Danio rerio: one gene and its partner. Each later gene encodes a partner of the first gene's protein in a complex. Links are inferred from orthologs where the notes say so. Each region holds a gene or a part of one and is shown on either strand. Other genes may lie near its edges.

Region 1 (4,415 bases):
TTGCTTTTCTGTTTGTTCTATTGCTCCGTTTGTTATATGTTTGCTCAGACTTCACATGTAAATCACTTGCGTTTCATCTGTGTCTGCTTATGACACAGGCTGGAAAACGTTTTTACCCCACTCTCATGTAATGTTAGGACTGTGAGGGCACAGGTGAGAGACCCTTTTTTCGAGAGATACATCACGTGTATGCAACATCTGTAAGTCATGTAAGACAATTAATTGCAAACTGAAATGAATATAATTTAATTATATGGTTTGGAATTGGGTGTTTTATGAAATTATTAAAAAAAATTTGCAATTATTTTGCATTTAAATAGAGAATTTTTTTTCTTTTTTTGTGGATTTTACGATGGATTAAGGGATTGCGGAACCATGAAAAACTAGGGGGTCTGAAAAACATTGCAGTGTCAGATTTTTCCAATATTGTGCAGCCCTAGTCTTCTTTTGTAGCATAAATCTGATTAAAATGGCTTCTTGAATGTTGATTGCAGAATTGCAAGAACATTTTGCATCTCCTACCCAATGTTGAATAAACCTTCTAATATTTATTATAAAATTTTATTAAACGGTTATAAATAATGACACAATTTATATCAAGCTATCTTTCAAGAATGATGTTTGTGTGAATTTAGGGAGGCTTTACCTATTTTTTGACTGTGTCCGACTCCTAAATATACATATTAATATATAAATATATATATATATATAAATAAATAAATATATATATATATATATATATATATATATATATATATATATATATATATATATATATATATATATATATATATATATATATATATATATATATATATATTCAGCTTCAATTATATTAATTCCTATAATAATTTAGCCTAGTTTTCATTTTTTGTGTATGTTTACAAAAGTTTAATAATCCCTTGCACATCTATTTATCTATTATTTGTCATTTCTATTTGAAAATATATACATATTGTTTCTGTCTTTAAATTCTTGTCAACTGTTACATTGGTTATATACATTTCATAATAATAGTTTCATAATCTTATATGGTATACACTGGTGTATACCATATTTTTATTTATGAATACAACACAAAAGTGTACTCATATGTTTTAATTCAGTCATAAGTTTATATATATTTGTATTTTATATTAAAAATATAAGATGTTTTTTTATATTAAAAAACTAATATGTGTATCACATAAATAATATCCAATACAGTTTATTATTGATCATTGCAGAGTAAAATTACTTTCTTGTTCAATTCTGCATCAGGTCACGTGTCTGTGTCTATAGCAGAGATGCCCAAAGTAGGGACTGGTAACCTTTGATTTGGCCCACCGTCTGATCTGTAAAGATAGGGAGAATGATGGGAAGGTTGTTGGGACGAATACCTTTGTTTTTATGCGTATCACTACTGAAAAAAACGGCTTAAACCAGCCTAAGCCTGTTTTAGCTGGTCAACCAGGCTGGTTTTAGAGGGGTTTTGGCCATTTCCTGGCTGGTTTCCAGCAATTTCCAGCCTGGTCTTAGCTGGTCAGGCTGGGAGATGACCAGCTAAAACCAGCTTGACCAGCCTAGCCAGGCTGGGAGCCCAGCCAAAACCAGCTTTGTCCAGCTTAAACCAGGCTAGTCTACCAGCTAAAACCAGCCAACCAGCCTAGGCTGGTATAAGCTTTATTTTTCAGCAGGCATGCTGATTATGTTTCAATAAATCAGACTTTTAAAATTTAAATAGGGTCACATGAATGATAGAAGACAATGCACAAGTCATTGGTGGCAAATCAAGGCAAAGGCTCGACTAGTGTATTCAGAATTGAACTCCATTGTGTTATAAATGTGATTGTTTATGTTTTCTACGTATTTTTTTATATTAGTGAACTAATTAGGAAACTACCCATGGTAAATTTAATGTATTATGGTTTGGAATAAATATATATTCGGTTTGGTATATATTCGGCCCACAGCCCTCAATTAAGGTTGATTTTTGTCCCGTTATGAGAAAAAGTTTGGGCATCTCAGGTCTGTAGAGTACCCTGCTAAGTGTACTTGCATGAATGAAATCCAATAGCGCAGCATGCTAAACTTGCTAATAAAACTCCATACGTGAATCATATGTGTATGAAACCATAGCCAAACAAAGTTCCAAAGCATTGTTATTCAGTTTAGCCTGATGTTGTTGTACATACTCTAAAAAAGCATCGTTAACATAACTCCAAGTTGTCAAAACAACTAGCATCTCTGCTAATGTGATCAAACGGTCTCGTGTTCTGACTAATCAGAGGCCGCTGTGAGCATCACGTGACTGCGAGCACACAGAGTGGAAGTGCTTGTCTCAGTGAGAGACTCTCCGCTCAGCGTTTTGAAATGTTGACGTGTTGAAAGAGATCAACACTGATCTTACTCCAGCCGCGATTTCAAAACATACTAACTATTTATATATATTTATTATCCATCTATGCTATTACTTCTTAGTTTAAACAGAATAGCTGTGTCAAACACGCGCGACAAAGCGGTTTTATATTAAAAATCCACCGGCTTCCGATATGAACCAGCGGTCCGCCATTTATACACTGTTTATCGGCTTCAACCTCCGTTTCTGATCGCTAATAAATCAGCTAAAACGCTTTATGAGGATGGACTCACAACCAATTCTTACCTCTCAACCAGCTGAGATAGAAAACACTGCCTTTTTCGTCTTCATCCTGTCCAGACTTCACGAAGTAAGTGCCCTTTAGACTCAAAATGCTGCCTTCAGGAGTCAATTGTTTGATTTATGCTAGCTTAAACTGTTCAGAATTAACAATTTCCGTCTAATATCCGTGCAGAATTGTGTAATTAGGTCGCAGTGTTGTATTTTTTAAATCCTCCTCATTGGGGTCTTCATAGTAATTCTGTTGCAGTTGGTAAAGTCCATTTAGGGGTCGCATAATATCCCGAGACGGCTAAATTTGCTAATATAAACGGAGTTGTGTGTGTTCATTACAGGCATATTGGTGATGACTGTGTTTTACCAGAGGTGAAAGTCCACAGTAAGCAACACTGTTGTTGTGTTATTGGTGCATGTGTCTGGTGATAAGGTTCAGAGCACATTGAATACCCTTTGGATTTGTCAAATAGGTCTAAGAGTGCAGAAAGGGTCAGAAAGTGCCACATGGGCTTCATAATCTGCCTCTTACTAATATATTGTGAACACTTCATCTGTCAGCAAGTGAAGCCGAGGTGTCATATAACATATGTTCATACAAGTGCTTGAATATTAATCTAGTGTATAAGGTTTGAAATGTGCAAAGATGTTGAAACTGCTTGAAAATGTAATTGTGTTGATTCATAAATACTTCCTGTTTAGTAACAAATAAATAAGTAAAACATAATAAAATATATTATCTTAAACTCATTTTAAGAGCCGACTCTGTGCTGATGTTCATCTGCGCCTTTTGATTAAGCCGTGATTGAAGAAGGAATGCATGGAGATTCCATTTCATGAGTAAACAAAATAAATCAATAAAAAAAAAAAATTAGCACATTTCAGATGGGAGTAAAAACATTTAAGAGAGAGAATGACTGATTCAGTGTTGGGCTTGGGGCAAACATGCCATTTAAATATTTTCCATAGATGAAGAATTGCACAGTATTTGGTTTCAGCATCGATATCGCAATTTGTGTATCTGCAATAGTCACATCGCAGGATCTGCAATGTCAAGTTGGGATTATAATAACCAGGCAACCACCACAGTTCAGAACATGAGATTTGTGTGGTCATAACAGAGTTTAACCCTAATAAAAGTGAAAGATTTAATGTGGATGTGTTTTAAAGACATGATATATTATCTATCAATCCATCCATCCATCCATCCCTCTCTCTCTCTCTCTCTCTCTCTCTCTCTCTCTCTCTCTCTCTCTCTAATTCAGATGAATTTGTAAAGTGTTTTAAAGGTTTGAAAAATGCACCTGGGGTATGTGCTTGAAATGAAAAGTGCTTAATATCCTCATCAAATAAAAGTGTACACTTATTTATATATGTGTATAGTTCTAAATGATGTAACTGTGCACTTCATAATTTGTAAATTAGTTTGTCTTTGTAAAGTTTAATCAAATACCATAACCTACCTTTCCCCAATTGCCATTTACATGTCCTTTAGGGCAGAGCTGTCTTTTAGGGTGGAGCTCTCATTCTTTTAGGGCAGGGCTGTCTTTTTTTTTTTTTTTTTTTTTTTTTTTTTTTTTTTTTGGAGTGAAGCTGTAAGTCCTTTGGGGAGGGCCTATCAGTGCTTTAGGGCAGAGCTATTCATTCTTTAGGGTGGGGCTATCAATTCTTTAGGGCAGGGGTGTCCACACTCGGTCCTGGAGTGCTGGTGTCCTGGAGAGTTTAGCTCCAACCTTGATCAAACAAACCTGAAGCAGCTAATCAAGCTCTTACTAGGTATACT
Region 2 (4,334 bases), on another chromosome or scaffold:
TCACGAACTATACTTCATGTGCAGCCGTCGGTAAACATATCTGAAGCGTTTTATATCAAAATCACAGAGATATAAAAGCGTTAAAGATTATTTCAGCTCGGTTAACGGAGGATGTTTGGCTAATTGTGATGGTAACCATGAGGAAGACGCTTTCTCCTAGTAACCGCGACAGGAGTTGGGGTGTCGGAAATGAGTGTCGTAAAAAAATTGTAGTTTTAATGTGGTGTAGATTTGTAGTAATTTGTGCTTCGAATCTTTGAATTTCGTGGTTAATGGGAAATCGCTGCATTATTTTTTTAGTAACGTTTATTAAAGTAATATTAACATAGTAATAGTGACAAAGCACTTGTTTTAATATTGATATATGCTAATATTGATAAACAAATAACAATTAAACAAAACTAAGAATTTATGAAAAAAATGCTTTATTAAAACAATCATGTTTATTCATAATTTAAATTCTCATTTAAACTATTTATGGTTATGAATAACTAAACTAAAATAAATAAATTATATATATTTATAATATATTTTATATTTACTTACTAACTTTTATATTCATATTAACCTTTATTAAAGCAATTTTACATGACAAATATTACATGCATTTCTGTACATATTTATAACATACAAAGTTGTATTTTAATATGTATTGTTAAAAAATTATTAAATTATAAATATGTACACAAAACATTAATAAATACAAAGTCAGTTTTGACAAAGATAATAATAATAAAAATAATAATGATGATAATAATAATTTTATTAATGATAATAATAATAATAACATATTATGTATATGCATAATATGTTGTTATTATTATTATCATTATTGTATATATATATATATATATATATATATATATATAAAATATGCATTAATCTGGTATTTATGCAGGTATGTTCACTATTATGGAGGACGGATTAGAATGTGGACAGATTAATAATTAAATTAATAACATGGTTATGGGGCATTTATTTGCGTATTAATTAATTTATTATTTTATTTATGCAGAAATGTGTATATTAATTAATTAATTAATTTATTTATTAATTTGCGTATTTATGCATTTATTGTTTTATTTATACAGGAATTTGTGTACTTATTTATTAATAAGTTAGTTAATTTATTTGCTTATTTATTTTTTTATTTATGCACGAATTTGAGTATATTTTTATTTATTTATTTATTTGCGTATTTCTTTGTTTATTTATTTATTTACTTATTGTTTATGCAGGTTTAATCCTCCATATACTATTAAATAAACAAACAAATAAATAAACAAATAAACAGGCAAAAAAAAAATAAAAAGATCGAATACGCTACTGTCGTAAAAAGCGCGCCACGAACCGGAAGTAGTAGTGAATCAAGTGACCAGAGACGAAGCACATTGTTTCGCGGCATGTTTCATATTTGTGTTGAACGAAAAGAAAGTTGCTTCATTTTACAGTAGTTTTATTATTAATATTTCTGAGCTGGGACGAGTTTACGCACAGTGTATCTGCAGGAAGTGCACCAGAAAGCGCTTATTCAAAACAGCATTCAGCAGGAGAGTGTTTGAATGAAGCGTCTCCGTCGAGTTTTGTGTTGATTTCTACATAATTTAGTTTTCAGCGGGATTTTAATTCACCAAACTGAGCATTTAGTGTATCCTGCTGGAGTATAAATGGCTGGGATTCTGTTCGAGGATATCTTTGATGTGAAGGATATCGATCCTGATGGGAAGAAGTTTGACAGAGGTGATTCATTCATTCACTTATTTATTTACTGGATAAAACAAAAGTCTCTTCAATGTGTTTTATAACGTTAGTTATTGATAAAACTTACAAACAGCATGAAGATTTAGATTGAGGAAAAGTTGGTTTATATTCGCACATTCCTTCATTTAACGTTCTCCATGCTCACATGTAAATCACATGTAAACATACATGACTTCACTATTTAAAGTTTGCAAATTATACTTTTATTTAATGATATTATTAAGGAGAAAGTCTAAATGTGCGTATATAAAACTACCTCAATAAGGTTTATTTGTTGGTTCGATTATTTATCACACAATAATAATTAGACTTATTGTATACTTATTAATACTACTTTAATGATGGAAGTTGAAGAGCTTAAAACTTTTTAATTTTTAATTTAGCTCATTTTCTTGATCATATATATTTAATATTTATTTTAAATGGAAAAATATGAATATATTAAATTAAAAATGTATTTTTTTACATTGTCAATGTCAATTTAAATGCAAATAAAACAATTTTATTGTTATTACTATTATTAATAATATTAATTATTATTTGAGATTTTTTTAATATATATTCTCTTTAATATTCTTTTTGTTGATGCTGCCTAAATAATATGCAGTGATCAAAATTAAAAATAAAATCAAAACATACTGCGTAAAAGGCATATCTGAAGGCAGAGCCGTTTATTTAATTACTGTTTTTATATATAGAGGTAAAGTTGGTTTTATATTTGCACATTCGTTCATTTTGCAGTCTCTATATTGTTGACCATGTTACTTTGAGTTTTCGATCGGAATTAGCACGCAAGTATGACTTGTAAACAACATTAACACTGTTTATCTGAATGTGAACAATGTTGTACTTTGATAGTCATTTGCTGCTAACATGATTTCCCTATATTTAGTATTGGCAAATAATACTTTTTCTTAAAATATTATTAAGGAGAAAGTCTGAATATATCCGAATATAAAACCAACTTTACCTCTGAAGATTTTTTTTTATCATACAATAATAATCAAGCTTATTGCATATTTATAAATACTACTTTAATAATGGATGTTGAAGAGCTTAAAGTTTTAATTTAACTTGTACATTTACTTGATCATATATATTTAATATTTACTTTAAATGGAAAAAATATTAATATATTAAATAAAAATTAATAGTATATTTTTACATTGTCTAAATGTCAATTTAAATGCAAATAAAACAATATTATTATTACTATTAATAATAAGTGTTTTTAGTACTTAGAATTTTTAAATCTATATTCTTTAATATTCTTTTTGTTGATGCTACCTAAATAATATATAGTGATTAAAATAAAAATAAAATCAAAACAAACTGCGTAAAAGGCATATCAGAAGGCAGAGATGTTTATTTAATTACTTTATTTATTTATTTATTTATTTATTTTTTTTTTTTATAAATCAACCACTATTATTTTTCCCCCCTAAAAGTCTAGAATTCACTAAACACTCTTGATTTGTTGTTTTGTATTTGTGATGATCAGTGTCTCGTCTTCACTGTGAAAGTGAGTCTTTCAAGATGGACCTCATCCTGGACGTCAACATCCAGATTTACCCTGTTGATCTTGGTAAGTCACTGTTCTTGCTCTCTGTGTTGTTCTCTGGGCTGCATAGAGGTAAAGTTGGTTTTATATTCACACATTCAATCAATGATGTCATGTGCAAACAACCTATAATCCATTACCTTTTTACATTTTCATATTGTTACTTGTCTACTTATCTGTTAATTTGGTCATTGCATAAATAAATGATTAAAAAAAACAAACAAATAAAGTAATTTCTCCAGTGTTTTGTTCAGACGAACGAAATTGTATGATTATAAAAAAGGAGGCGTGGCACCTAACCCCACCCCTAAACCTAACCGTCATTTGGAGATGAGCAAATCGTACTAAAATGTATGAATTAGATCGTTCGAATTCGTACGAATTAGCCACTAAATGAAAAAGTTACGAATTGCCGTGAGATTGTGTTGGTTTTATCAGCACTCCAACAGTATTTACATGTTTTTCCGGTATCCTGCTGCCCTAGTGATGATAATGTTGTGTTGCTGTCATATGCTAATGAGGATGATGTCATTGTGTCAGGTGACAAGTTCAGACTGGTGATCGCCAGCACTCTTTATGAGGACGGGACGCCGGACGATGGAGAATACAATCCTCAAGACGACCGGCCGTCCAGGTCATACATTACTCCTAAACTAAATCTTAGATATTTCATGTCTACGATCAAATCAAATCAGGCCTTTATTTACACATACACTTTCGTATAGTGAAATAGAACCCCAAAAATGTAAATTAATTACTAATGACATCATTAAAGTTGTTTAAATGACTTTTCTAGTGTCATGACTGATGGGCAACTTTTTTTAATCAATGAGGAATTGTCTTAAGTCACTGCTACTTTAAATCCACAGAAAGGTCAACACACAGACAATAGTAAATGAAACTCGGTGGTGTTTGTTGTTGTTTTGCAGAGCTGATCAGTTTGATTATGTAATGTACGGAAAGGTTTATAGGATTGAAGGAGATGAAACGTCTACAGAAGCCGCCACACGAC

What was found.
Region 2: taf1a (region 1) and polr2h share a complex: the UniProt entries of both Homo sapiens proteins name them as parts of the pol I pre-initiation complex. The link is inferred for Danio rerio from reciprocal best matches to the Homo sapiens genes TAF1A and POLR2H.

What each region holds. Positions count from the first base shown.
Region 1 is NC_133195.1:55,096,440-55,100,854, reverse strand, and holds the start of taf1a (TATA box-binding protein-associated factor RNA polymerase I subunit A), read right to left. Parts: upstream 2,993-4,415; 5' UTR 2,709-2,992; coding exon of another isoform or gene 2,616-2,708; exon of another isoform or gene 2,330-2,615; intron 1-2,329. UniProt on the Homo sapiens protein: Component of the transcription factor SL1/TIF-IB complex, which is involved in the assembly of the PIC (pre-initiation complex) during RNA polymerase I-dependent transcription.
Region 2 is NC_133197.1:38,621,657-38,625,990, reverse strand, and holds the start of polr2h (DNA-directed RNA polymerases I, II, and III subunit RPABC3), read left to right. Parts: upstream 1-1,361; 5' UTR 1,362-1,667; coding exon 1,668-1,740; intron 1,741-3,262; coding exon 3,263-3,346; intron 3,347-3,862; coding exon 3,863-3,956; intron 3,957-4,251; coding exon 4,252-4,334. UniProt on the Homo sapiens protein: DNA-dependent RNA polymerase catalyzes the transcription of DNA into RNA using the four ribonucleoside triphosphates as substrates.